Ovis aries: one gene and its partner. The protein of the gene in region 2 purifies or fractionates together with the protein of the main gene of each other region. This does not show direct contact. Links are inferred from orthologs where the notes say so. Each region holds a gene or a part of one and is shown on either strand. Other genes may lie near its edges. The genes, in order: AFG2B and CAPN2.

What was found.
Region 1: the proteins of CAPN2 (region 2) and AFG2B purify together in Homo sapiens (co-immunoprecipitation; 3 studies listed by BioGRID and IntAct, with this or other methods). This does not show direct contact. The link is inferred for Ovis aries from reciprocal best matches to the Homo sapiens genes CAPN2 and AFG2B.

What each region holds. Positions count from the first base shown.
Region 1 is NC_056060.1:63,170,796-63,185,725, forward strand, and holds part of AFG2B (ATPase family gene 2 protein homolog B), read right to left. Parts: coding exon 14,906-14,930; intron 12,887-14,905; coding exon 12,701-12,886; intron 8,069-12,700; coding exon 7,910-8,068; intron 2,972-7,909; coding exon 2,762-2,971; intron 1,900-2,761; coding exon 1,675-1,899; intron 407-1,674; coding exon 272-406; intron 1-271. UniProt on the Homo sapiens protein: ATP-dependent chaperone part of the 55LCC heterohexameric ATPase complex which is chromatin-associated and promotes replisome proteostasis to maintain replication fork progression and genome stability.
Region 2 is NC_056065.1:26,312,649-26,328,267, reverse strand, and holds the start of CAPN2 (calpain-2 catalytic subunit), read right to left. Parts: upstream 10,354-15,619; coding exon 10,117-10,353; intron 5,026-10,116; coding exon 4,956-5,025; intron 1-4,955. UniProt on the Homo sapiens protein: Calcium-regulated non-lysosomal thiol-protease which catalyzes limited proteolysis of substrates involved in cytoskeletal remodeling and signal transduction. Proteolytically cleaves MYOC at 'Arg-226'.

The DNA of each region.
Region 1 (14,930 bases), on a different chromosome or scaffold from region 2:
CTCAGTATTTTGAGTCTTCCACGAAGCTGAAATTACTACCATTTTTTAGGTTTATGTTTCTCTGAAAACAGGGCCAGAGTACCCAGCAAAAGCAGATGAAAATGATAATTTATGATGGGCCATTAGGTAAGGAAAAACACAGAATCCAACATAGGACACATACCATGTACACTTACATCCTGTCAGGAACTCAACTCTGCCATCTTCTTAGAACTCAGACACTGATGTTTATTAGGAATGCTCACACAGAGTAAATGTGCACAGTGATTACCTTTTCATCTGGAGGTGGAATATAAATAATCTTATCTAGTCTTCCAGGCCGTAACAAGGCATCATCTAACACATCAGGTCTATTTGTTGCTGCAACAACCATGATGTTGCTATTGAAAATTTCTTGAAACTCTAGCTGAGGGAAAATATACAACACAAAGTAACATCAATAAGTTGTTAATTACTAAATGTATTTTTTTTATTACAAATCAGCAGGTCTGTTTGTTTTAAAATAGGAGAATGCTGTTTTCTTCAGACTAGAATGCTTACATTTCCTATCCAGACCACCTTCTCAATATCAAGGCACCCTAGAAACAAATTATTAATCAAAGAGCTACACAACACGCACACGGTGAAGGGAGTGATCAACCCCAGTGGGGCATCCTCCATGTGAGAACTGATGAAAAGAGCCCTACACCACAGCAGAGAACATCCATCTGCTGACCTGAATGCATCTGAGCCCCAGTGAGTGATCACAACTTAAATGCATGACTTGAAAAGACAGAAGCATCTGACTAGCACATAGTATACCTATGAAAAGTCTTGGCTCTCATGTTCTTGAAGAGGGAGATTTATTTTACCTCTTTTTTTGTTTTTTCTTTACAGAGGCAAAAAATACGACAACTAATATAAGTTGCATGTATATAAATCCAGGATGAAGATTTTTTAAAGAATATCTAAGAGCTGCTACGGCAAGGCCTTACACATGCTAAGCGTTCAGAATTGTTGAACTTAATTTTCAGAGCAGTTTCTCAGTAATGTGATCTCTCAAAGCAATGAGTTCCCTGTATCTTCAAGTATTTTAGCAGAGACTGGGTAAACACCTGTCAGAGGCTATAGAAGGAATTCCTGCTCTATGAGAAATGATTAGAACACCTCATGGGTGCCTTCAAATTCTAGTGGCATATGCTCCTAAGGAGCTATAAGATTCTCTTTCTATGGAACAATTTAAGAAATAGGAAACAAGAAAAAATGAATAAAAGCTTTAGAAGGAACAGGATTTCCAAAGGTCACTTTAACTGCATTAGAACCAAGGAAACCTCAACAAAACTGGAAGTTTTTAATTACTGATTATTGGAAATAATAGTCTGTTTTCTTTCATTTCCCATAAAACACTCATTTATCAGGATACAGAAATAAGAAACTCCCTTCTCCACTAGCAATATGCAGTTACATTTCTAATCTTAGGGAAAAATTCACATTCATACATATCTAAGATAGTTTATTATAAAATTTGCCTCATCTTCCCAGCTAAATCACAATTTTACCAGCTCTGTAAAAATCCTAATAGTCAAAGTGAAATTATATAATTCTATGAGATGAATCCAGCATAGGAAAAGATAGTATAGATGCAGTCTAATTATTGTTGGCCTGGATTTTTGGTGTATCCTGGCTAATAAATACCTCTTCATTTTTTTCCAGCTGCTTGCATTTACCATGGTGATCTGATTTACTTCCTCTTCTCTCTATAGTCTTCAATCCAACACCATCTAATTCATTTAGGAGAACAGAAAGAACACGATCTTGAACATTACATTCTGTTCTGCTGATTGATCGAGAGCCCAAGATTGAATCAATTTCATCCAAAAACACAATTGCTGGTGTATTTGCTCTTGCTTGTCGAAATACCTTTTGTTCAAAAGTGGAAATATTAAAAGGCTATACATCATGCCTTATTCATATGAATGAATGCTTTCTGCACTACTATTTATAATTTTTAAAATATAAAAAGAAAGATTATAAATGTCTAAGAACTGGGGAATGAACAAATAAAATAAAGAACAGTATTATACAGGGGTTAAAAATCTTATTTTCAAAAAACATTTAATATTACTGAATTTTAAAAGTGGTAACACTAAGCTAAATCACAATAAAGATATATATGTATGTATATGTATACATATGTGAATGGATATATATATGGTGGTTTGGTGGTTTAGTCACTCAGTCGTGTCTGACTCTTGTGACCCCATGGACTGTAGCCTGCCAGGTTCCTTTGTCCATGGGATTCTCCAAGCAAGAATACTGGAGTGGGTTGCCATTTCCTTCTCCAGGGGATCTTCCCGACCCAGGAATTGAACCCAGGTCTCCTGCATTGCAGGCAGATTCTTTACCGACTGAGCTATGAAGGAAGCCGGGATATATATATACATATATAAAATGAGTGGATAGGTATATATTATCCACTCATTTTATATATGTATATCCACTCATTATAGTATTATATATATAATATCCATTCATTCCCTTGCCCAAGGAAACAAAACAACAAAGAAAATTCACCCAAATGTTAACAGTAAGTAGAGAGATTGTGGAGGATTTCCTATTTATACTTTTCTATATTTTCTAAGTTTTCTATACACAAATAGGTATAATGTTCTTAACAGTAAAAATAGCCAGTTACATTAAAAAAAATAAGGTTTATTCTTAATGCATGAAACAAAAATTAAAAAGTAAACTTAACTACATGAGGGAAAATAAACAAACCAACCTGAGACAAGATTTTCTCTGAATCTCCAACAAAAGGCGAGAAGAGATCAGCTCCGCTCACTGAAACGAAAGAGCAATGACAGCTCGTAGCCAGGGCCCTCACCAGCGTGGTTTTGGCACACCCAGGGGGCCCATATAGGAGAACTCCCTTTGGTTGTGTCAGGCCCATCCTAACAAATTCCCGAGGGAATTTCAGAGGCCATTCAATGCTCTAAAAGAACACAAAAAGAGACAGGACACAAAAGGAGACAATTGTCTTAGTATAATGTGAAAAAAATTTTTTTTCAATAAATTCATTCAACAATCTTCAGCTACCTGCTATGAGCTGGATATGGGGTCTAATCTCCACACAGCAGCCAGTGAGCTTATGACATAAGTGAGGTCACATCACTTCCTGCTTAAAATCTTTCAATGACTTCTCGTCAGAATTACAATATTCAAATCCAAACTCCTAACTTATCACTGCTTAGAAGGCCTAACATAACCCATCACCCAAACACCCCACAGTTTGCTCCCATCTCAGGGCCTTTACTTGCTAGTCTCTCTGCTTGAACACCCCCTGTGATCTTTATATGCTATTCTGCATCACACAGGTCTCCACTCAACAGTCATTTCCTTGGAGAGGTCTTCCCTAACCACTGTAGTTAAAACAGACCTTCTTCCTCCTGGGCACTCTATGCTACTACCCATTTTTTAATTTTGGAGCACTAACTCATTTGCTATCTGAAATTACTGTATCCCCATGCTGAGTTTGTCATTCTGCTCTTGCCAGAATGTAGGCAAAGTTCACCTCTAAATCCCCGTCACCTAGAATGACACCTTCACAAAGTAGGTACTCATTAAATGTTAGCTGAATTATAAATAAATCTTCAATACCTCTGAGGTAGACGATTTTGTTATCATAATTTCAGAGATGCAGAAACTCAGGCTTAAAAAGTGAAGTAACTTGCCCAGGCCTTATTACCTTAACGTGAGTGAGGTAACAGAACTAAGACTAATCCCAGACAGTGTAGGTCAAGAGCGGGAGTTCTTAACTACCGATACATTGCCTCTACAAAAAAAGACAGACAAGATCCCGTACTAGAAATTCCTATTGTAACTGGGGAGACAGGCTTAAAAACTAACAACCAGGCCAGAGTAGGGCATTCCATGGACAAATATATACAGAGACACATCAACCATCCAGTTCATCTCCCAGTGGTAAGCAGAACAGGGTGGAGGACGTGGGAGGCAAGGAGTGATGGAGCTGAAATGGAAGTAGGAGTCAGATCACACTGGGCCTTGACAGTTTCAGTCAACAATGAGGAAGCAGTATGGAGAATGAACTAGAAGGAAATGAAACCAGAGGGACGGAAACCACTTAGCAGTGGTCAATGAGTGCAATGACTCAGACTACAAAAATAATAAGGCTGGATGTGTCACAGGCAGCAGAGATCGTGTGGGAGGGATGGACCTGAAACATACAATGTAAGTGTACTTTATGCAGGGGGGAAGTCCAGAGGGGAAGGTATGTGACATGCAACATGACATGCATCTAGAAGACAGGTCTCTGACTTAGGGGATGGGGCAACTGGCTGTCTTTACTGGGAGAGGGCATCCAGCTATAGAGATGGAATTGGTAAGGTAAACTCTGGACATGCCATGCTGAATCCGAGATCCCTAGAAGTTATTTAGTATGCAGGGAGTTAAGTAGTTTTGATGGTCAAAAGAACTATCTGCACGGGTTATAAAGATTTCTGAGTTAGCTGCTTTCAGGAGACAGCTAAAGCCTGGGACACGCTTCAGGAGATGAGAGATGAAGGACTCACTTAGAAAATGCAAAAAGAGGACTCTTGGGAGCTTGGAGAATTAACATTTAAAATAAGGGAGAGGAGTGCTCAAAAAGGTAGGAAAGCCTAACATCTCAGCGCTAAAGGAAGACAGTGTGTCTCACAGGAAAGTATGGCTATTTTGTGAAGATTAAATGAGAGCATATTAAAAAATTAGAGCATATTTAAATGTGCTTTAAGAAAACAGGAGATATCAAGGGAACATTTCATGTAAGGATGTGCAAGATAAAGGATAGAAATGGTTAAGGACCTAACAGAAGCAGAAGAGATGAAGAAGAGGTGGCAAAAATACACAGAAGAACTGTACAAAAAAGTCTTAATGAACCAGATAACCAGGATGGTGTGGTCATTCATCTAGAGCTGGACATCCTGGAGTATGAAGTCAAGTGGGTCTTATGAAGCATTACCACGAACAAAGTTAGTGGTAGTGACAGAATTCCAGCTGAGCTATTTCAAGCCCTAAAGGATGATGCTGTTAAAATGCTGCACTCAATATGTCAGCAAATTTTAAAGACTCAGCAATGGCCACAAGACTGGAAAAGGTCAATTTTCATTACAATTCCAAAGAAGGGCAATGCCAAAGAACATTCAAATTATCATACAATTGCATCATTTCACATACTTACAAGGTTATGCTCAAAATCCTAGACTTCAGCTGGCTGAAGTGAATTGAAAACTAGATGTACAAACTTGATTTCAAAGAGGCAGAAGAAATCAGAGCTCAAATTGCTAACAGTTGTTGGATCATGGAGAAAGCAAAGGAATTCCAGAAGAACATTCACTTCTGTTTCATTGACTATGCTAAAGCCTTTGATCGTGTGGATCACAACAAACTGTGGAAAATTCTGAAAGAGATGGGAATATCAGACCACCTAACCTGCCTCCTGAGAAATCTGTATGCAGGTCAAGAAGCAACAGTTATAACTGGACATGGAAAAACTGACTGGTTCAAAATTGGGAAAGGTATACAGACTATATATTGTCACTGTGCTTATTTAACTTCTATGCAGAGTACTTAACTTCTATGCAGAGTATTTAACTTTCTATGCATCATGTGAAATGCCAGGCTGGATGAAACCCAAGATGGAATCAAGACTACCGGGAGAGGGATACCCCTGACGTTCAGTGGTTAAGACTCCACACTCCCGAGGCAGGGGCCCTGGGTTCAATCCATGGTCAGGGAACTAGATCCCACATGCTACAATGAAGATGGAAGGTCCTGTATGATGCAACTAAGACCCAACACAGTCAAATACATACATACATACATATATATACATACACAAAAATACATATATACATGCTGCTGCTGCAAAGTCTCTTCAGTTGTGTCCAACTCCGTGCGACCCCATAGACGGCAGCCCACCAGGCTCCCTCGTCCCTGAGATTCTCCAGGCAAGAACACTGGAGTGGGTTGCCATTTCCTTCTCCAACGCATGGAAGTGAAAAGTGAAAGTGAAGTCGCTCAGTCGTGTCTGACTCTTAGCGACCCCATGGACTGCAGTCCACCAGGCTCCTCCATCCATGGGATTTTCCAGGCAAGAGTACTGGAGTGGGTTGCCACTGCCTTCTCCTATATATATACATACACACATATAAATATGCACGAAGATTACTGGGAGAAATATCAACAACCTCAGATATGCAGATGATACCACTCTAAAGGCAGAGAGTGAAGAGGAACTAAAGAGCCTCTTGATGAGAGTGAAAGAGGAGAGTGAAAAAGCTGGTTTAGAACTCAACATTCAAAAAAACTAAGATCATGGCATCTGGCCCCATCACTTCATGGCAAATGGGAAGGGAAAAAGTGGAAACAGTGACAGATTTTATTTTCTTGGGCTTCCAAAATCACTGTGGACAATGGCTGTGGTTTTTCCCAACAGCTGTGTACAGATGTGAGAGTTGGACCATAAAGAAAGCTGAGTGCCAAAAAATGGGTGCTTTCAAATTGTGGTGCTGGAGAAGACTCTTCAGAGTCCCTTGGACCACAAGAAGATCAAACCAGTCAATCCTAAAGGAAATCAACCCTGAATATTCACTGGAATGATGCAAACAGCTGACTCACTAGAAGACCCTGATGCTGGGAAAGAGGGTGGGCAGGAGGAGAAGGGGGCAACAGAGGATGAGGTGGTTAGAGAGGAACAAAGACTCAATGGACATGAATTTGAGCAAACTCTGGGGGATGGTGGAGGACACAGGAGCCTGGTATGCTTTAATCCGTGGGGTCACAAAGAGTCAGACACGACTTAGTGACTTAGCAACAACAAAATGTGCCTATCCATGGATACAAGGATATCAGGGTTCACTGTACATACAGCTCCTAGTTAAGATAAATAAATTATAATGGATACTTATAAATTAGTCTTGTGTGTGCTTGATTTGAGAAACCTACTTTCTTATGGCAGGATCACCCAAAAGGGAATTAGAAAAATTAATTTCTGGAACTGCAATGCAGGTAAGAAAATCCGGTGAGCTGTGACCCTTAACAGCCACTGTGAGAATCAGTATCAAGTAACTACTCAGGCCAAAGTGACTGTTAATTTTGTGTTTTTACCAGTTTGGGGGTAAATTCAGGCCTATGAATGAAGAATTTGTACAGTCTATGAACTAAGAATCAGTTTTACATGTTTAAATGTTAAAAAAAAAAAAGAATATTCTGTGGTGTGAAAATTATATGACTTCAGTGTCTATAAATAAAATCTCATCAGAACACAAATACTCATTACATATGACTGCTTTTGTGCTGTGATAGCAGAGTTGAATGACTGCAACAGAGACCATAAAACCTAAATTATTTACTCTCTGGTCCTCCACAGAAAGAGTTTACTGACCCTTCATCTAAATTAGAAACTCTTTAGAGCAAAAACTAAGCAAAAAGATGAAGAAAGAAAGTATGAAAAATGGCATTTGATGTCTGTAGAGTCCAGTTAAACAAGGACGGAAAAGCAATCATTGGATCCAGATGTTGCTGCTGCTGCTGCTGCTGCTAAGTCGCTTCAGTCGTGTCCAACTCTGTGCGACCCCATAGACGGCAGCCCACCAGGCTCCCCCATCCCTGGGATTCTCCAGGCAAGAATACTGTAGTGGGTTGCCATTTCCTTCTCCAATGTGTGAAAGTGAAATCGCTCAGTCGTGTCTGACTCCTAGGGACCCCATGGACTGCAGCCCACCAGGTTCCTCCGTCCATGGGATTTTCCAGGCAAGATGTTAGGTTCCCATTAGTGAAGGCAGCCATAAGTTTCAGTGCCACTTGTTTACACCACAAGTGCATTACACTTAGACCATCATATTCTACTGGCCAAGTAGATTCTCTATCTCACCTGCTTTAATTTCAGCTTTACATCTTCAAGGCCACCAATCTGCTCCCAGCCAACAGGTTTGATGTCTGTCAGTCCAATGACACTTCGAAATGACGAGGGTTGGATCTTTTTAAAAGCTTCAAGGAAGTCTGTTTCATCAATCGTCGGATTGTCCTGGTTCTGAAGTAATCCACCCCAAAAAGCGAAATCAAACCAAAAATCAGGTGGGCCTTTTTTGTGGCACACAAACATGATTACTTTTTTATTGTGATCCTCATTTGAATTTATACATCTATTTTGTTGTCACTATAAAGAAATTTATAACACATGATATGAAAAAATTAAATGTCTCCCCCTCAACTCCCACCAATCTTCATCCCCAGAGAATGCCAACAGTCTCCTGTGTATTCTTCCAGTATGTTTATGACATGTGTATATCCTTTCAAAAAGACACACAAATGGGACCATACTGTACACATTAATTTGTACTTTTTCATCTCTCAGGAATCTTTTCATGTCCACGAATACAATAATACCTCATTCTTTCTGACAACTGCATAACATTGCGTGAGTATTTTAATGACACCTTTGTATTGAACAGAGGTTTCCCAGTCTTTTGGTACTAAACACAAAGCTGCAACTGAATGTCTTTGTACACATGTTCAAGTATTTTATATAATACTTCCCTCAAAATAGAATTACTGTGCTTAAGAGTATGCACACTTACAATTTTCATAGCTACTATTAAAATGTGCTCCAAGCTGTACCAATAATATGAAGCTATTTTCCCCACATCTCTCTAACACTGGACATGACCAAACCTTAAATTTCTGCCATTGTGACAGAAGACACGGTGTTTACTATTGCGTTAATTAAATTTCTTCAATCAAGAGTGAGGTAAAAAGAATAATGGAATTAGAAAATAAAATTTTCAACCATTACAGTAATGGCTATTTGAGGCAAGAATCATCAGCGGATGCCAATCTAGGGGAGAGAAAGTCTGACGGGGAACAGGATGTCTGCATTGTCTCAGAGGGTCTCCTCACAGATTTCTTATTAGTTGCAAAGGGAAAAATAACAGCTCTACAGCAGACAAACCGGACCAATGCTTGACTAGTTGATCGCACCAGTCACCCACAAGAGGCACCCCCCGTGAGGAGCCGGTGGACACACTAAGTCTCCACAAATGACATCCTAAGAAGGACACACTAACATTTAATGCAGTGCTCCCAATGGGCATGCATAACCTGAATCTAACTAGGAGGAAACAGACACATCCAAATTGATAGATGCTCTATAAAATCACTGACTTTAAATCTTAAAAAATGTCAATGTCAAAATGTCGCGCACACACCAAGAAAGTGCTATGAAAATGTTCAAAATTAAAGAAAACCAAAAACTAAACATAATACATTGTCCTGGACTAAATTCTACACTGAAGGAAAAGAGTGCTATAAAACTTGAAACAGCCAGCAAAATCAAAATAGGGACTGTAGATCTGACAACATTCTTGAATATAATGAGATTATACATACTTGTTCATAGGAAATGGACACTAAAATATTAAGGGATAACAGGTTAAGATGCATGCAACCCATTTTCAAATGATTCAGAAAAAAAAAAACAATGTGTATATGTATACAGTTGACCCTTGAACAACATGGAGGTTAATCCTTATTTAAGTAGAGGTAGCCCAACAAATCTGTTGTTCCCCACATCCGTGGATTCAGCTAGTCCTGGACCGTGCACTATTTGTAGGATTTACTATTGAAAAATATCTATATATAAGTGAACTGGCGCAGTTCAAACCCACGTTGCTCAAAAATCAACTGTATATATAGAGACAGAGAGACGAGAGAAAAGAGAGGAGGATAAAGCTAATATGGCAAAATGTTAAAAACTTGTCAGTTTGGATAAAGGAATTAACAGGAGTCCTCTACCTTCACCTCTCCTTGAAGTTTTAATTCAAAAAAATTTTCCCCTGAAGCTTTAATTATTTCAAAATCAGTTTTTAAAAGAGAAAGAATCAAAAAAGACGAATCTTTAAAGAAAGTTGAGGATTTTTCATGTTTATTAGTCATTTGTAATCCTTTCACTGTCAACTACCAGTTCATCAGTTCATATTTTATATACATTTTCTCTTAGATTGGTCTTATTGCTTTGTAAGACTTCCTTCTATACCAAGGAAATTGGTCTTTTGTCATGGGCTGAAAGTATTTTTCCCAGTCTGTCTCATGTCCTTGCCTTTGTTTACAGTATTGTTTGTTTTGCCTTTGAACTTATCATCTTTTTTAAAAATAGTATTGTTTTGCCATTCTAGAATGGTCAAATCAGTAAATATCTTCTTTTTGGCTATTAAAAATTCACATTTCTATTTGTAATATCTGTATTATATTTAAGTATTTACCCTTACATAAAATTCTGAATATTTAGTTGTCCCCAAATTCCCATTTTCAATAACAAACTATTTTATCCCATTTATGTAAGATTAAATAAGTGAATATATATATACAGAGCTATCATTAACTGTTCCTAAAAATGCTAATAACTATAATCTCTGGGAGATGAGCTTTCAGACAATTTTTATCTTGTTTAATTTCTCACAAAGAATGTTATTAAATAATTTTTTTAAATAGCATCTTTTTTTTTTTTTAACTAGCTAGCAGTATCAGATATTGGGTAAATGAATACTAATACACTTTAGGTGAGTACCAACTAACATTTGAAAATCCCATTTACACTTCCAGATCATTAGTGTGTATGTATTATTCACTTGATTTTCATAACCCTTTCAGGCAGATAAAATCCTTTCCCCTCCATGTGTATATGTTTATGTGTTAAACTGTATTTCCAATGCTTTAATAGACATACTTGACAAGAAGCTGAACAAACTCTAATGTGTCCTCATCTGCCCTGTAATAGAGGCGGCAACAGCCCCTCAGCTGCCTAGAGATGGAAAAAGAAATAGATGGAACCAGTACCTACCCAGATGCCTCTGTCCATTCTTCCTTTTTGCCTTTCTTTTTTTCCACTTCCCCTGGTTGTTTATGAACTCAGCCATCACCTGTGCTAACCATGCCTAGGCAGGCCCTCCTGAAGTAGCAGTGGGCTCCACCCTAGGACAACTGCAGCTGTCTGGTCCACCTAAGCCAAGGTGCTTTACGTCAAACCGGGAACTTCAAAGCAGAGGGAATTCTAAATGTAAACCTCTGTTCCTGCATCCTGTACTCGCGTCCTCCATTCAAGAGGCATATATTCTCACATCTTCACACATGGGACTTGTCATTAAATCTTTAAGCACTTCTGGTTCTAAACCCCAAAGATGAGGAATTAAAGTTCACGTAATTCCTTCCCTACCTTCAGTGTAAGAGTAAAAATAAAGGAAAAGAAGATGAGGAAGGATTAAATTAGGTAAAAATGTTTTCAAAATCTAGGATAAATCATCCTCTTATGGTTTAAAAAAAAATCCTCAAAATTAGGGGTAAGATCAAAGGACAATTTTATGTGTTACAACAGAACCCCTAGCACAATGAAATTAAATTTTTTCTGGAGGAGTTTAGGGACTCAGGATGACTTATTACATACAAAGTGAACAGATTTTCCAATCTATAGTGTTGAAAACTACTACATTTAAGTTAATATCCCAACTATTTTTTCAAAAGGCACTCATGAATTAAGGATTTAAATGTCAAAGATGAATTTAAGTAAAATTCCAGGCACCTAATCTTCTCCAGAGTAAGAAAAGGTTCTTTTCCCTACAAGATGCGTATTGATAACAAAGGGAAAAATAGTATCTTAACAATGGAGAAATCTCAGAGATAACGACCTTATCTAAGATATCAAATCGGTAACAGGACAAAGATATATCATTTCTACCTAACAGACACAATGAGAAGAACACAGTATCATTTCTGGAATATTTCTGCCAAAAATGCAAAACCTGACTCAACTCACGAGAAAATATCAGTCAAACCTACACTGAGGAACATCCTACAGAACAACTGAACTGTACTCTTAAAAATAATTAAAGTCATAAAAGAAAGACTGAAGAAGTTTCTAGATTAAAGATTAAGAAACCATGACAACTAAAAAACGCAATGTGTAATCTTGGATCAAAAAAATTTTCTTTTCTTTTTTCCTTTTAAAATTTTTGCTACAAAGGAAATTAATGGGACAAATGGTGAGATTTGGATAAGGTCTATATAGATTAAGTAAAAGTTGGTATTAATTTCTTCATCTTGATTATTGTTTGTACTATTGGTTAGTCTGATTTTAGGAAATAAACAACTCAACTTTTCAAAGCTATGCGGGCATTCTGGCTGCATTTGAGAGTATGAGTATATATACATAAACATCCATACACATGAAGAGAGTATGATAAAGCAAAGGTGGTAAAATGTTACGTTTGAAGAATCTGGGTGAAGAAAATGAAAAAATTCTTTGTACTAGTTTTACAACTTTTCTCTAAGTCTGAAGTAGATTCAAAATAAAATGAAAATTTTAAAGACACATGTTTGATTCTTCTGGGGTCACAGTGTCTTTTTCCTTATTGCACTGGGCTTTAGCACTAAAGAGTTAGTATGGGAGAATGGGAACATGCCCTCGACCGACCTAGAGAAGTCAGCTCTCTGTCCCCACTTTCAGTCATACACTAGTTATATATGGAATTCAGATGTAAAAATACATATAAGAAACAGATGTCTAAGGTGTCAAAAGTTTCAGGAAAAGGTACTTACCACTTTTTTAAGTCCCCAAATTAACTTGTTACATTAATAAAAGGGTTAACATAGGTCATAAACCAATACTTCTTACCTTCTCACTATGAAGGAGAGCCTGCATGGCAGCCTCCCTACAGAGTGCAGTCAGGTCTGCGCCAACATAGCCAACTGTCATTTCTGCAAGGAGGTTCAAATCAACTTGATCAGAGATAGGCATCTTTGAAGTAATCACTTGTAGAATTGCCTTTCTTTGTCTAAGAGTAGGAGTTCCAATGACAACCTATGTGCAAAGCAAGAAAAGAAAACATTTACAGCTTAAAAATATTTTTTTATCCTCACAAACGTATAATAATTTAGCAAACAAATCTGGAACTATTACTAGGTACTCTTAAGTACATATCTTAGATTCTGAATATGAGAAAATCCTTATTTTCAAGAGTGAAACAGCTGGCTTGAAACTCAACATTCAAAAAACTAAGATTATGGCATCCGGCCCCATCACTTCCTGGCAAGTAGAAAGGGGAAAAGTGGAAATGGTGACAGATTTTATTTCCTTGGGCTCCAAAATCACTGTGGACAGTGACTGCAGCCACAAAATTAAAGGATGCTTGCTCTTTGGAAAGAAAGCTATGACAAAAATCTAAACAACGAATGAGAAAGCAGAGATATCACTTTGCTGACAAAGGTCCCATATATCAAAGCTATGGTTTTTCCAGTAGTCATGTAGATGTGAGAGTTGGGCCATATAAAGAAGGCTGGGTGCCTAAGAATTGATGCTTTCGAACTGTGGTGCTGAAGAAGACCCTTGAGAGTCAGTCCCCTGGACTGCAAGGAGATCAAACCAGTCAATTCTAAATGAAATCAACCCTGAATATTCACTGGAAGGACTGATGCTGACACTGAAGCTCCAATAATTTGGCCACCTGATAAAAAGAGCAGACTGATTAGAAAAGAACCTGCTGCTGGGAAAGACTGGAGGCAAAAGGAGAAGGGAGTAAGAGAGGATGAGATGATTACTTAGCATCACTGACATGAGTTGAGCAAACTCCAGAAGATAGTGAAGGACAGGGAAGCCTGGTGTGCTGCAGTCCATGCAGTTGCAAAGAATCAGACATGACTTAGTGACTGAACAACAGCAACAACGTCAGGAAGTTTTTATTTTGTTATTTTTCAGAACCTATCACTTTCTAGGAGCCAGTAAATCAGAAAGTCTATGTCCCTACCCTTATGGAGCTTATTCAGCAGACAGGTATTAGATGGTGTGAAGAAGAAATCCACTTAAGTTCTAAACAGATTATGCTAAAGTCTGCAATTATCAGCTGTCTCTTTACAACCCTACCACAAAGTTCAAACATCACAACCACTATTCAAACTATCTAACAGAAATCAAGAATCAATTTAGGGCTGAAGTTTATAAAATAATACTTGAATATTTGAATATTTTGAATATTCAATCTTCCTGACAACTAAGAGAGCAACTGTGGTACAGGATGCTGGCATTCAGACAAGGAATGCATAAATCTAGATAGAAGAGTTAACGTCTGCTTTGATTTATTTCTTCCCTGCCTTCTTTCTCATTTCAACACATTTGTTTCTTGAGGCTATCCTTCTACTTTAGATTCTCATTCCAAATCCTAAGAGTTTAATAGCTTGTTCAGTTCAGTTCAGTCGCTCAGTCGTGTCCAGCTCTTTGCGACCCCATAAACCGCAGCACGCCAGGCCTCCCTGTCCATCACCATCTCCCGGAGTTCACTCAGACTCACGGCCATTGAGTCGGTTATGCCATCCAGCCATCTCATCCTCTGTCGTCCCCTTCTCCTCCTGTCCCCAATCCCTCCCAGCATCAGAGTCTTTTCCAATGAGTCAACTCTTCTCATGAGGTGGCCAAAGTACTGGAGTTTCAGCTTTAGCATCATTCGTTCCAAAGAAAACCCAGGGCTGATCTTCAGAATGGAGTGGTTGGATCTCCTTGCAATCCAAGGGACTCTCAAGAGTCTTCTCCAACACCACAGCTTGTAGTAGTCCTTAAAAACTAACACTACTGATAACAGTATTCATCCTCAGGGCCTGCAACAATTCCAATCGGCCCCCTGGCTTCTCAGAGCAATTTGACTCTGGGAGGGAAAGGGTCCTGGCTTGCAGATCATTTGTTAACCAGAGAACAGGTTCTCTAAATAAAAGCCCCACTCCAGTCTCCCTGGCTTCCAAAGCTAAGTGGGAAACTCCTCGGGGCAGCCAACCAGGGCCAGATGAGGCCGGATTCAGGGGCAATGCCCTAACTGGCTGAGCCTTTATTTACCTCTCGGTCGAACCTCCCAGGTCTG
Region 2 (15,619 bases):
TGGGGAGATGAGGTCAGGGGCAGCCAAGGAGAGATGTGCTCAGCCTTGGGCATCTGATGGGCAGGAACCCCGCTGTGTGACTGCCAGGGCTGGGGCGGCCAGGGCAGGACGGGGCCTCTGGGCGATCCATCCCTGCCCTGTTTACGGACCTGTCTCAGGTGCACCTGGAAAGGAGCTGGGAGTACAGGCAGCAGCCACAAGGGAGACGAGCTGTGAAAGAGCATTTATAACCAGAAGAGCCGGGAGAGGAAACGATGACTCATGGACTGCACACATCTGCCCCAGGAGGCTGGGGTGGGGGGTGGGGCAGTGCTGGGCTGGTGGTGAAGCGATTGTTTTAAGAAAGAGGAGAAACATATTTTCTCCATCAAACCAGCCAACACTCATTTTTGAATTAAAAAAAAAAAAAAAAAAACTATAAGCACTATCTATCTTTAAAAAAATGTATCCTACAAAATCCTGGCCCAGGACTCCTGAAAAGTGGCAAGCTCATCAAAGCTGTCTGAGAAACTGTCATAGCCAAGAGGCGCCTTAGGAGTCGTGACAACTAAATGCAATGTGGTATCCTGGATGGGATCCCGGGACAGAAAAATGACCCAGGAAAAACTCAGGAGGGTAAAGAATGGACTTTGGTTAATGATAATGTATCAGTACTGGTTCATTAATCGTAGCAAATGTCCCACACTAATAATGTAAGAAGTTAACAATCAGGGAAACTGGGGGTGGTGTGTATGGAATTCTCTGTACTTATCATCTCAATTTTCCTGTAAATCTAAAACTGTTCCAACAAATAAAGGCTATTAAAATTTTTTTAAGGTGCTTATTAAAGTGGCTTTTAAAAATTATAAGAATCACTTTAAAATGATTATTATATAACCTTTAAAAATGGGAAAATAGGGAGAGGCTGAATTTGCTCAGGATTCTACAATTTGCCAAGTGTGTTTGCCTATATTAATTGCATTTTTCACCACGGCCCCGGGAAGGAAGTACTATCATGATTCCCATTTTCTAGAAGAGGAAACAGAGGCTCAGAGTGCCTGGTTAACCTGCTCATTGTCACGCGGGCTAGGAAGCAGGAGAGGAAGCCGAAACTGGAAACCTCCTTCCTGGTGCTTTTCCCACTGGCTCTGGGCTCCCCACTCTCTGCTGAGCTTGGCTGTGAGGGGAGACACCTTGACACCTCCCAGCAGGTGCTGTGGGGCTTGTGTGACCCTCAGCGGCAGGGTGAGGGTAGAGGCTGGGTGATCCACCTTCGGGGGCCAGGTTACAAAGACACGGGGCTGTGCGGTTTCAGCATTGGCAGCCTGGAGCCCTCCCTCAAGAAGCTGAGGGCCTTTGCGGGCACCTGGCCAGGGCAGCCACCTTCCCCTGAGAGCCGTGAGGGCAGTGGGGACCTTGGGGAGCTATGTGAAAGGGGCAGTGTGAAAGCTCAGCAGTGGCCCCATGAAAATCAAAGGCAGAAGGAGCTCGGCTCTCGGGTCTCCCAGCTCTGGGGGCCACCACGGCCATCACCTGTCATAAGAGGCTACCAGCAGCAACTCCAGGCTGCATTTAGCTGCAGGGCGGCCTGGCTGAAGGTCAGCCTGGATCTCCAGCCCTTCCTCTAGAGAGGCAGATTTTTCTTCACTGACTCAGTGCTTAGCACAGCCAAGGTCTGCAGCGCAGGTGGCTCACATCAGAGCAGCCTACAAACAGTTAGGATTACTCTGGTGAGGCTTTGAGCTGACCCTCTGGGAAGGTGGTAGAAATCTGTGGATTAACTATTACCAGGCAGCCCTGTGAAGGGAGCCCTGTTGGGAGATGTACAAGTCCAAGGACAGCCCCGGCCCAGGTTCCCTGGCAAACTGAGTGAATCTCCGGGTAAAAAGTACAGGTAAGGAAATACAATTTGCTTTGAGAATGTTACCTCCATATTTCCTCAACAAAGCCTCATGGCAACTCGTGATGGGAGGGAGAAGAATGTAGAAAGATTTAAAATCATATTCGAGTTCTTTCTTTGGGCCACTTTTAGCTATGTGGCCTTGCATGGAGTCCCCACCTGCTGCCTCAGCTTTCTTATCTGCATAGTGGGGTGAAAATATTTATTTGGATGAGATAATAATATTATTACATGTAATAATGTTTATTACATGAGATAACGAGATGAAAATGCTCCACGAGTTGCACACTGTTTCTTAGTCACAGGGGCTTCCCAGGTGGTGCTAGTGGTAAGAACCTGCCTGCCAGTGCAGGAGACGTAAGAGACACGGGTTCGATCCCTGGGTCAGGAAGATCCTCTGGAGGAGGGCGTGGCAACCCAGTCCAGTATTCTTGCCTATGAAATCCCAAGGACAGAGGAGTCTGGAGGGCTACAGTCCATAAGATTGAAAAGAGCTGGACAGGACAGAAGCGATTTAGCACGAATACATGGGGTCACAGGGGCTGTTATCACTCCTCGTCTGAGATGAGAGATCTGGTGGCCTAGCCCAAGATCTCCACTCAGTGTCAGGCATGAGGAGTGACTCTAGAACAGCTGAATGCCCCACAGTCGGGAAATCTTTGAGATCACCCTGCTGACCCTCCTCACTTTCCATTTTTAGAAGAGACTGAGGTTCCTAGTGATGACTGAGGTCAGCCAACTGCAAGCTGAGCCTCCACTCCTGTCTCTAGTCGTGTGGCAGGTGTTGCTGCCCTTTGTTCCTGATGCTTCTGAACCTTCAGGGACCTGGTGACAGCCACCACCCCACACCCACCCTCTGCCCAGATGCCAGAATCAGGGTGAGAGTTCAGTTCACCACATTTCACAGCTCATAATCAAATCAGGATCCTCCAGTACAAAAGGCCAAGAGAACAAAATGGCCAATGTGGTGTAAAAAAAAAAACAACAAACCAACAAAACTTAGAAATGACACCTAATTACTGAGAAGTTTTGAAAGGACTTTAACTTAGACTTGTTTTTATTTAATTTGATACATATCTTGTCGATTTTTACCCCAGGAATGTAAACTTTTTGTGTCTCCTCTCCAAATGGCCTGACAGTATTCCAACAGGACTTACATCTTGCAATTTGGTCCTTAAGAGGTCATTAAGCTCTGAAGTGGATGTTTAGCCCAGGTGTGGAATTTAGCCCAGATATGACTGTTGCCATTTCTGTTTCCAGATTTTTCTAAAACCCCTGTGGTTAGTTGTAATCTCCATCAATTTCTAGCTCAATTAACTTTCATTTTCTCTAACCAGTTGGACTTTTCTGGAGTACCCACCTTAGGTGCCTAAGGGCCCCTGGGTCTATCTTTTGTGAGGGAGAGAAGGCAGGAAATGGGAGGTAGGTATTCTTTAGGTAAGAGTGTGCTCTGGCATCTCAGGAATTTGCACACAGATGCTGAGCTCAGATAGTGGAGTTTGCACGCCTAGCTCTGAGTCATGCTCTCCATTTCCCAAGGGGCTCCCAGCATACCCTGTCTTAACGTCTTAATGATTCACAGAGCTGCCCCGACATCCCTCAGAGGCTGAAAACTTTCCATGTCCCTTCTAGGGAGTCTAGCTCAGGGGTTAAACACAGACCGTCTGCATTTGCATTCCAGGCCCTCGCTTCAGCTGCGGGATGACCTTAAGCAAGTCACTCCCAGGACAGAACCTCTGCTGGGTGGGCCAGGAAAGAAGGCACAATTCAAAGACGATTAACTCTGCTACTGATGGGCTAGTCTGGAAAACAAGTCGAAGCTGACGTCTCAAAGTAAGGTTTTGGTTTATTTGCAGCAAAGTAAGCTGCTCCCGTGATCATAGGCTCATACCTACTAGGAGTAAAACAATAAGCGTGGACTCTATGAGAATCTTAAACAGTGGTCCCGGGCTCCTTTGCTAAAACTTCTTCAAAGAAACCCTGGGGGCAATAAGCAACGAGGTCCTACTGTAGAGCACAGGTAACTGTTCAAGGTCCTGTGATAAACCATAATGGAAAGGAGTGTGAGAAAGGACATGTATGTGTATAACTGAGTCACTGCTGTACAGCAGGAACTAGCACAACACTGTGGATCAACTATCCTTCAACAAAATCAATAAAAAAATAAAACTCAGGTGCTTTCAGGTCAAAGCAGCCTGTATGTTCCAGTCTCAGCAGGCACTGTATTCAGAAATCAGAGCCCGGCTTCAGATACCCTCACAACTCAGTTACTCCAGTTAAAACTACTTAAGTGAACATCACAACTGCCTCTGTGACAACAGCACCATGTCCACTGTTGTGATACCATGGTGAGCTTGCCCTGCAAACACTGAGGACACCCTGGTACGTTAACTTCCTCCCAGCAGTGACTACCAGGGTTTCCTCTTCCTTTACAATGAGTCACCATCCCATCCCTGAACCACAGAGAACTGATGTCTCAGTGCTGCAGCTGACCCAGGGGAGTCCTCCTAACTGGTCCTCAGCCTGGAGCCTGGCTGCTCCGTGGGCCACTAAGGGTGGCTGAGATCCAGGAGCTCCTCTGTCCCCCAGTGGGAGCATCTATGCAACGTCAGCAACTAGCCCAGCACTTCCCTGGTGTTCCAGAGGCTAAGACTTCTCATTCGCACTGCAGGGCAGCGGCCCAGGCTTGATCCCTGGTCAAGGAACTAGAACCCATGTGCCACAACTAAAGATCCCGCATGCTGCAACAAAGACTGAAAAGTCCATATGCTGCAACTGAGACCCAGCACAAAAATAGATACATAGTAAAAAAACATAATAATCTCAACTCTTTAAAATGACAACAGCAACAAACAGCCCAGTCTGGTGCAGGGGACACACGTGTCCTCACTGCACCTCTGTCTGTCTGTCTACCACACCACAGGATCCTAAGGAAACAAGACATTCAAGGAAGCTTCTGGAAATAGAAATTGCCAAAGGGTTTAGCAAGAGAGCGGAATCATAACTCATCCCTTACTCTTTCTACCCACAGCTGTGTAGACAGGCCCCTGTAGTCTGCTTAGATGCCATCACTTACCTAGGGCTCCTTGGCAGATGTCTGTGCGAGTGGCTCCTCCAGTAATAAATTGGGGATCATCGCAGATCTCCTGAAAATGAGACCCACAAAGTATTGTCAGCGTATATGCCATATACTTTTGTAGTTAACACACCTCAGTTTCCAACAGATGCACCGGACCCCTCTGTCTCTCCCCTCTCCTCTAGGGAATGCCTGGCCGTTGGACTGCCATGGGGTCCTTCTCTGACTCCTGCTCTGTGGGTCCTGATAGGTGGTAGGGGATCCTACTGTTCCACCAGATCCCAATACCCCACACTGCCTGGAGCCTACTTCATCACGCCACTTCCTAGGGCCAGGGCAGTGCCAAGTCCAGCCTCGTGTGGGGGCCTGGAGATGGTCCACACTCTGGAGTTGCCCTGCCCACCATGCCCGCCCCCTCCTCTGTTCCTGCATGGGATTTCTCCTCTCCGACCCAGTTCCCTCCTTTTCTACATCTTATCATATCTCAAGACCCACTGCCACGAACTCCGTGAAGCCCTCCTTCACAGTCTGGCCCTCACCCATCCTTTCCATCCTGAATCCCAGAGTATCTATCCTCTGCAATTCAGCAGCTAGATGTGTGCTGTACATGGTGCTGGATACCACTATGTCTTCCTAATACTTATGCTTCTTGAGGATAGGGGAAGGTGTCTAGCTTTCTGGATTTGCCTACAGGCCATGATACTTGGAGCAGGGGGTCCACATACTGTGAGCCTGCTGTATGTCAATACTGTGTGTGGTGCTTTATCTCAGGAACATGGATGGGCAACAACCCCATTTTATAGGTGAGGAAACAGGCTAAGATGAAGCTACGTGTCCCAAGATGCATCGCTCATGGCTGCAGACAGCAATGGGATTTGACTGCTGTAATCTGTACACTCCCTTCCCTCCTGAACTGCCTCTAAATGATTACTAACAAGCCAAAAAGGGCTGTCCCACAGGTCGCCTACTGGAAGCCAAACTTGGACAGGGCTGGCCCCTCTGCTGCCCTCTCTGAGCATGCTTCCTGATTCTGAAGAGCCCCACCCAAAACCACAGAGGAAACACAGAGCATAAATCAGGGCTTCCCTTGGCCGGGACCCTTTGATTTGGAGAAGCTCCACCCCAGAGCGCCCGGTGGGCCCCCTCTCTGTCAAGCAGAAGCGTTTCCTGGGTGAGGCCAGGATCTAGCCCCTGTCCATCGTGGCTTAGACTGGAGACCCTTCTGGAATCCACAGCAGAGCACACTCCTCTCATGCCTGCATTGTCCCTTCCCTGTTTGGGTGGGTCTGTCTGGGGGAAGACAGGCACAGTGAGAATGCTTTTTTTGCTGAGGCAGACGAAGCCAGCTTTGTCCGAGGCCTGCCAGCCAAGCACTTATCCTGCTGATGGAATACACGGAACTTGGTGCTGGGAGCCTAGAAATCATATTGATAATCCTCGGTGCACCAGGCACTTATCCCAGAAGGGTTTTTCCATTATTTTTGAGAAATTTTTCACACCTTTGGCAGCCTCTCCAAAGAAGGCAAAGTTTAGAGTGGCTCTTAGAGATGCTTCAGGAAATTGAAACTTGTACACAGCATGAAGGGCATGAATTAAATATGGAACATCACAGTCTCAGGAAAGGGGTTGAGAGCCTGGGCTTTGGAGTTAGCTGGAGTGTGACTCCTGGCTCTGCCACTTCTTATACAGTGGGTTTTATGACCCTGGCAAGTTACTTCACCTCCTTAAGACTCAGTTTCCTCATCTGTGTAATGGGGATAGTGATGACAAGTGTACCTACGAAGTTTAAATGAGATGACTATGTACATGTGCCTTGGTAAGCACTATATAAGTTACCGACTATTATAGTTATTGAAGGAGTATCATAATCACTGAACTTGGAGGCAGGAGATGCAGGTTTGAGGCTGAATTCAGCTAGCTGAGTGTAAACAAGTCATAAAGCTCTTAGATCAGTGGTCCCCAACCTTTTGGGCACTAGGGACTGGTTTTGTGGAAGACAAATTTTCCCACGGATGGGGTGGGGTGGGGAAATGGTTTGGGGATGATTCAAGCATGTTACATTTATTATGCCGCCGCTGATATGCCAGGAGACTGCGCTCAGGTGGTAATGCAAACGATGGGGAGCGGCTGTAAACATTGATAAGCTTTGCTTGCTCACTTGCTGCTCTCCTTCTGCTGTGTGGCCCGGTTCCTAATAGCCCATAGGCCTGCACCGGTCAGGGCAAGGTGGGGACTGACATGTCTGCCCTCGCTCCAACCTGACTGGTGCCATCCTTGATGGTGACCAGCCCACAGTGACTTTAGCCGTGTCCTCTTCCCATCTGCGGAACCCTCTGTTGGGAAAGGGTGTTGGGAAACCCCCTCTGAGGAAGGGCAGCCCTTTGGCTCCAGGGCTGGCCCGCTCCCCTCCCTCCTCTCACTTCCTCGGGGCCTCCTTTTCTCTTCAGTTCCGTTCTCTCTGGGGCTTGACATATGCTTGTGTGCATGCTCAGTCATGTCTTGACTCTTTGCGACCCTTTGGACTGTAGCCCACCAGGCTTCTCTGTCCATGGGATTCTCCAGGCAAGAATACTGGAGTAGGTTGCCACGCCCTGCACCAGGGGATCTTCCCCATCCAGGGATCGAACCTGCATCTCCTGTGGATCCTGCATTGCAGGCGGATTCTTTACCACTGAGCCACCAGGGAAGCCTGGGACTTGACATATAAAACGTTCCAACTGCTCTCATCTGAAAAAAAACCTCTCGAGTCCCAGGTCCTACTCTCCCTGCCACTTTCCCTCCTCTCCTTTCACAAGAACGCTTCTGGAATTACCCGAGCACGCTCTTCATTTCTGGCTCCTTACTTTGGGGTCTACAGCCGTCTGGCTCCTACCCACTGCAATTCAGTTGTTGCTGTTAAGTCACTAAGTTGTGTCCAACTCTTTTTGGCCCCATGGACTGCAGCACACCAGGCTCCTCTGTCCTCCATTATCTCCCAGAGTTTACTCAAACTCATGTCCATGGAGTTGGTGAGGCTACCTAACCATCTCATTCTACCCCATGGCAATTGCTCTGTTAAAGTCACCAGTGACTTGCTTTTGTCTAGATCCAGTGGATACATTTTTGTTTGTCTCGCTTGATCTGAACTACAGCTGTTTGAGAAGGCAGAGAGAGTGGCTGCGAACTGTGGACTCTAAACACCCACAGGCGGACAGTCCTGGCTCCAGCCCCAGACACCTGTATAAGCAAATATTTAACCTTCTCAAGCCTCAGTTTCTTCAACTGCTTAATGGGTCTATACCTGTTGCCCTCCCCGTTAGTTGCTCAGTTCATACCCTGTCCCGCCCTAACCTGGGGCTCTAAAATGGGCTTAGATTTCCATTTTCCCATCTGGAAATCCTACAGGCATTCCCAACTGATGGGTGACCTGTCTGTCTAACCCCTAATGCCTTCAGAGGCAAAAACCAATATGCACTATGCCTGGCATACAGTAGGTGTTCGATATAAGCTTTTTGAATGAATGAAAGAATAAGGAAAGAAGTATATAAATTCACAAACTGTCAAGTACTGTACAAACATAAGGCAATTACATTCTCGTTTATCACTTTCACAGTCGTAATTTTGTTTGAGGCTCATTACAATCTTGCATTCATTCATTCATTCCACCAAGAGTCTTTTTGTTCACAGATGTATCCCAAGCATTTAAGACAGTGCCTGACATTTAACAAGCCCTCAACAAATACTGCTAAATGAATGAATGAACAAATGAAAGCATACTCTGAATGCACCAGGGATTGACTGGTGAACAATACACACAGGTCCCTGCAGTTCAGTAGGAAGGACAAACCAATACATGTAATTATGTGTACGAACTGTGAAATGCTGTAAAGGAAATTAGCATGATAAAGTTCATGATAAAGAATGACAAGATGAGAAGGGGGGCTGCAACGAATGGTCAGGACAAAATCTCTTTGGGGAGGAGACACCTAAGTCCCAAAGAATGAGTGAGCCAGATTCCAGAAAACTAAGAAAGAGCATCTCTGGCCAGTGAGGCAGGAAAGAGCAGGGTGCCCTTGAGAAACTAAAAGGTGCTGGGCTTGGTGAGTCAGTGGAGAGAGGAAACTCTCTCTTTTAGATAAAGAAATGGAGGCACAGAGGTTAAACAGCTCACTCAAGTTAGCAAGAAATGAACTCAAGTGCTCTGGGCCAAGGGTACCTCCTACTGCACTTGCTGCCTGCAGGCTGGGTTTGGGGTAACAGAAGGTGACCAGCTGATGGGGGTGGGGGTGGGGGTTCGGGGGGTGGGGTGGGGTAAGCAGGACAGGAATGCTTATTTTCCTAACAGGAATCTAGAGGCTGGATTTCCCAGGAGGCCTCCTTGGGGTGTGGTGGGGGAAGGCCAGAGAGGTGTCTGTCCCATAGGAGGTGGGGCCAGGAGGGATCCCAGGGACACAGGATGTACAAACTGATCAGGGAAGCAAACTGCACCCAAGGCCTGCCAGGGCACGGAGGACAGAGATCCGGGGCCGGTGGGAAAAGGGAGCTCAGAGGAGGCCGGGAGATTCCGGGGTGAGGAGAAGGAAGCGGCTCCTGGCTGCATCTCCCCTGTCCTTTTGATAATCACCAGGGTAAATACTACAGGGAGCTGTCTTGCCAGTTCCCATCTGGAAAAATAAACAGGAAACTGCGTGGATAAATCTAACCATCACTTCAAAAGACGATCCCTAGTCACAAACGTCCAGGCTATGCGTGGACTTTCTCCCTGAAGCAGAGAGAACCAAGTTAGAGGCCGACTTCCCCCGCGAAATTCCGTAACACCCACGCCCCGGTCTCCCGCCCGCCCCCACCCGCGGCCTCCCTTCTCTCGGGCCCGCCCGGCAGAGTCCAAGAAGTTTCCTTCAGGCCCCCTTATGTCACCCGCGTTTTTGAGAGTTTTTGCCGGCGGGCCTGCTAGTGCCATATGTGGGCAGTGTGCACCTCGGCGCGTCCTAAGGGCCCCGTGGGTGGCAGATGGGACGCGGGCGACCCCGCGCCAGCGGAGCCCCGGGTCGGGCTCCGGGCCGCGGGGCTCGGCTCCCCGCGCTCCCGCGGCTCCCCGCGCGCGGGGCCGCGTTCTCGCCAGCTCGGAGGCCGGGCCGCAGCGCCTCCGGGCCCCGCATCCCGCCCCGGGCGCGCTCCCTACCGTGGGCCGCTTCCACTCGATGCCCCGGGTCTTGCTGGAGTAGGGTCCCAACTCCTTGAAGCCCAGGGAGGAAGGCAGGGCCGGGAAGGAGGGGTCCTGGAACAGCGCCCCGGCCTCCAGGCACTCGTCCCGCAGCGCCGCGTAGTCCTGGTTGAGGTACTTGACCGCCCTCTCGTGCGAGCCCAGCCCCTCGGCCGCCTCCCGGTCCTTGGCCAGCTTGGCCGCGATGCCCGCCATGGTTGGCCCGGTGCCCGCGCTGCCGCCGGGCGAGCGAGCGAGGGTCTCGGCTGCGGCGATGAGCGGCGCTCGGCAGGGGCGCGGCCAGGGCCCGGCGCGCGGCAGCGGGACTGTGAGCGGCCGCCGCCGGCGATGATTCACCGGGTCCCGCGGCGCCCTCCGCCCTGCGGGCGTGGCCTGGCCGCTCCCGGCCTGCTCGGCGCCCCACCCGGGACCCTGGCGGCCCGCGGCCTGCACAGCGCCAGCCGGACGGCGGCGGCCCGCGGGGCCGGTGCTGCCACCTGCGGACGGCGCCCGGGATGGCCGAGCGGGCCGGCTGCGAGCACCCAGGGCATCCCGGTGGAAAAGCGGGGACTCAAATCCAGTCTCACTTTAGCCGGCTTCCCACTTGCAGGAGAAGGCTGGCGGAAACCCAAGGCTGGGGCTATCCTGACTCTCCAGGAAACACCCTGTGAGTTAGAAGGGGAGAGAGCTGGAGGAGACGAAATCAGCTCTGTAAGAAGGTGGTTTCTCTGCTATAGACTCCATTGGACAGATGGGAAAACTGAGCAACTGAGAGGTTAGATGACATCACCCAGTGTTGCTCAGCTAATTTGGGGCGGAACAAGGATTCCAAGTTACCAGAGGCGTGTTACAATCAGAAGGCTACACACTGCTACTAGTTAGCTGTACGATCACAGAGAGCAGGGTCAGATTTGGCAAATAAAAATACATCCACCTGTAACAGGGAAGAACAAATCTGATTCCATATTAGATCTGTTGTGTTGCCTGTGCTTACTCATGCTGGTTCTGCACCTTTTGTTAAAAAAAAAAAAAAATGTTGCCTATAGCCTGAAATATATAGGGGAGCCTAGTCTCAGGGCTCTGACCTAAAAGAGTCCATTCACATAGAGATAAAAAGTTGGGGAACAGAGAATAACATTTGTTTCATTGAAAGTTTATGGGAACATCTTGACCTGACCTACATGGACAGCTAAGAAAGGATTCCAACACCAAAAAGTTTGCAACAGCTAACCATGCCCCTCCTTCAGCTTGCCTTTAAAGGTGCTTTGCTGAATTCCTTAAGTGAGTTAAGGGCTTTTTAACAATGAGACACCCCGGTCTCCTTGCATGACCCTGCAATAAACCTTCCTCTGCTCCAAACTGTTTCGATTTGTTTGGCCTCACTGGGTGTCGGGCACACGAAGTTTCATTCAGTAAAACACCCAGCTAAATTTGAATTTCAAGTAAACACTAATGATTTTTCACTATAGGTATGTTCCAAACAGTGAATGGCGGCATACTAAAAAATCATTTCTTATTTAAGGAAGCAAAATTTGCCACCTCAAAATGTCTTATTTGGCATGTGGATTATTTTGAGCTGGAAACAATGGAGGCCCAGGAGACTCAGGAAGAAACTGACCTTCCTGATAATGGCCTGAAGAATTTAGATAAAGGACCTGTTTCCAGAACACAGCAATCACCAGAGATATCTGCAAAGATTATAGGCTCAGTGTGGTGGGGACCTTCGAGGCCTAGAGATCAGATACCTCTCTGTGTCCCATTGTCTCTTTGTTGTTTAGTCCCTAAGTCCTGTCCGACTCTTTGTGACCCCATGGACTGCAGCACACCAAGCTTCACCATCTCCCGGAGTTTCTCAAACTCATGTCCATTGAGTCGGTTATGCTATCTAACCGTCTCATCCTCTGTCACTCCCTTCTCCTGCCCTCAATCCTTCCCAGCATCAGGGTCTTTTCCAATGAGTCAGCTCTTTGCATCAGGTGGCCTAAGTATTGGAGCTTCAGCTTCAGCATCAGCCCTTCCAATGAATATTCAGAATTGATTTCTTTTAGGATTGACTGGCTTGATCTCCTTGCAGTCCAAGGGACTCTCAAGCGTCTTCTCTAACAGCACAGTTTGAAAGCCTCAGTTCTTCGGTGCTCAGCCTTCTTTATGGTCCAACTCTCACATTCATGCATGACTACTGGAAGAAACCATTGCTTTGACTATATAGACCTTTGCTGGCAAAATGATGGCCCTGCTTTTTAATATGCTATCTAGGTTTGTCATAGCTCTCCTTCCAAGGAACAAGTATCTATTAGTCATGGCTGTTGTCACCATCTGTAGTGATTTTGGAGCCCAAGAAAATAAGTATCTCACTGTTTCCATTGTTTCCCCATCTATTTTCTGTGATGGGACCAGATGCCATGATCTTATTTATTTGAATGCTGAGTTTTAAGCCAACTTTTTCACTCTCAACTTCGACCCTCATCAAGAGGCCTTTTGGTTCCTCTTCACTTTCTGCCATAAGGGTGGTGTCATCTGCATATCTGAGGTTATTGATATTTCTCCCGGCAATCTTGATTCCAGCTTGTGCTTCATCCAGCCTGGGATTTTGCATGATGTATTCTGCATATAAGTTAAATAAGCAGGGTGACAATATACAGCCTTGACGTACTCCTTTTCCTATTTGGAACCAGTCTGTTGTTCTATGTCCAGTTCTAACTGTTGCTTCCTGACTTGCATATAGGTTTCTCAAGAGGCAGGTCAGGTGGTCTGGATTCCCATCTCTCTCAGAATTTTCCACAGTTTATTGTGATCCACACAGTCAAAGGCTTTGGCATAGTCAATAAAGCAGAAATATACCTTTTTCTGGAACTCTCTTGCTTTTTCAGTGATCCAACAGGTGTTGGCAATTTGATCTCTGGTTCCTCTGCCTTTTCTAAATCCAGCTTGAACATCTAGAAGTTCATGGTTCATGTATTGTTGAAACTTGGCTTGAAGAATTTTGAGCATTACTTTGCTAGCATGTGAGATGAGTGCAATTGTGCAGTAGTGTGAGCATTCTTTGGCATTGCCTTTCTTTGGGACTGGAATGAAAACTGACCTTTTCCAGTCCTGTGACCACTGCTGAGTTTTCCAAATTTGCTGGCATAATGAGTGCAGCACTTTCACAGCATCATCTTTCAAGATTTGAAATAGCTCAAGTGGAATTCCATCACCTCCACTAGCTTTGTTTGTAGTGATGCTTTCTAAGGCCTACTTGACTTCACATTCCTGGTTGTCTGGCTCTAGGTGAGTGATCACACCATCGTGATTATCTTGGTCGTGAAGATATTTTTTGTACAGTTCTTTTTGCCACCTCTTCTTAATATCTCCTGCTTCTTTATGTGTGCAGAGAGCATGTCCTAGGGGTCATTAACTTACTGAACTCACTGGTCAGGTTATAGGCCTCATGCCACCTTTGTTTTATTGTTTTGGGGGAATGTCTGATGCTTCTGTTGCATGGTTTTGTTACTAAGCAAGCCTGCTTGATTTTGTGGTTAAGCAAACCTGGCTTTCTTGAGTGATCACTAACTTACTGTGGTCTCCCAAAGCCTCCTAAAGTTGCTTCTCTGTCTAGTGATATAATCTCATAGTGGGATTTCAGAGCTATTTGATTATCCTACTCTGTCCCTATCAGAATTAGATGAAACCTAATCACCTTGCCAGGGTCTGTGCCTAAGCATCCTTTCATAGTCTTCAGGATGTTTACTGCTCTGTGCAATGTAGAAATTGATAGTAATGCAAATAATTCTTGTCTGTGTATATGCAAATGAACTTCTTGGGGTAGAAGTGCAATCAACTGTCTTCCCTCTCTCAGTTTTGCTTATATTAACAAATTCCATTTAGTATTCCTAATTGTTCTTTCAGATTCTTGTTTGAACTAATTTTTCAAGAACATACACTGGGTTCCCTCTTTTGTTCATGAGTTAGATCAAAACTAACTAAATAAATAAAATGGGTAAGAAATAGTCAAAGAAAACAGAGGCAAAAAAAGGAAAACAGGCATTTTTCCTTGGATAATAGGATGGGCATGTGTGCATGCTCCATCCTGTCTGACTCTGTGACTGCATGGACCACATGGACTGTAGCCAGCCAGGTTCCTCTCTTCTTGGGCTTTCCCAGGCAAGAATACTGGAGTGGATTGCCATTTCCTTCTCTAGAGAATCTTCCCAACCCAGGGATTGAACCCATGTCTGTTGAGCTGCATTGGCACGTGGGTTCTTTACCAGCTGAGCCACAGGGGAAGCAAGAGGATATTGGGCAGGTAGTACTAACTTCAAGTGTTTGCAGGATTGTCCTGGAGAAGAGGAAATGTGTTCATTCTGTGTTGCTTCAGAGGGAGAGAAGGAACTAGTGGCAGATTTGAAGGGGCACAGATTTTAATTCACCATGAAAAATGATTAAATAGTGGCTGGAGCTGGGCCATGTGCAATGGGCCACCTTGTGATGCTGGGAGTCCAGCACTGCTGGTTGCGTTCAAGGGGTCAGGAGTTCCCCAGCTTGGCTGAATATCAGAATCACTTGTAGTGTGTTAAAAATACAGATTCTGGGCTGTGCAGCCAAGGCTCCGTAGGTCAGAAAGTGTTTGGTCTTTAATGATTGAGGGCCAGCCAGTTTGGGGTCCCTCGGCCAAAGGGGGCTCAGAGATGGGGTGGTGGTGACCTCTGGGGTCCTTTCATAGCCAAAGAGTCCATGACCAGAAGGTCTGCTGACAGGCGGTATGAGCCAATGCTGTCTGTACTTGCCCATCATCAGGGTGCCAGCTTCTTTTTTAAAGTCAGCGCTGATGTTGATCTTGAGGGCCACACATCCGTCTTAAAAGGGGTAGGGGTTGCATTTGAAGGATCTACCTCTCTCCCCCTCAGAATCTTCTGGGGACTGCCTATTGCACCCCATTTTCTAAATTTCCTGGAGAGGATGAAGGATGTGTGAATTGCATTGCCCGCCATGAGTCTGTTTTCATATTTGAGGACTGAGCCCTGTGCACCAAATGCTTCGAGCGTGGACTTCCCAGGCACGCCTGATTTTGTGGAATCAGCCTCCACTTGGCTTGGTTTTGTATTCACCAGCTTTACTCCTCCTTCTTCATCTATTCTTGTCCTTGACCAGCTGTTCAGGGGTCCATTTCTTACCCTCTGCTTGACCAGACTTTATCAGGTTTCTCCCTTGCCTCCAAGCCCAAGCCAACACAGAAAAAAATGGACTGGGCCCCCCCCTTATCAGCTTCTCCTGAGAATCTGCTGACTCCAGCATGACTGTTTCCTATCCGACCCCATTCGTTTCCCCTTGTTTGTCTGGCTTCCCCTCCAAACATTCTGCTTATCTCTGTTGCCCCTCCTTTACTCTATTAAACACACACACAAAGTCCATTTTGTTTGATTTTGAGACTGTTGCAGCTTTCTGAGACCGGAGAATTCCCCTGATTGCAACAGCCTTTCTTTCTGATTAGTCTTCCCCATCT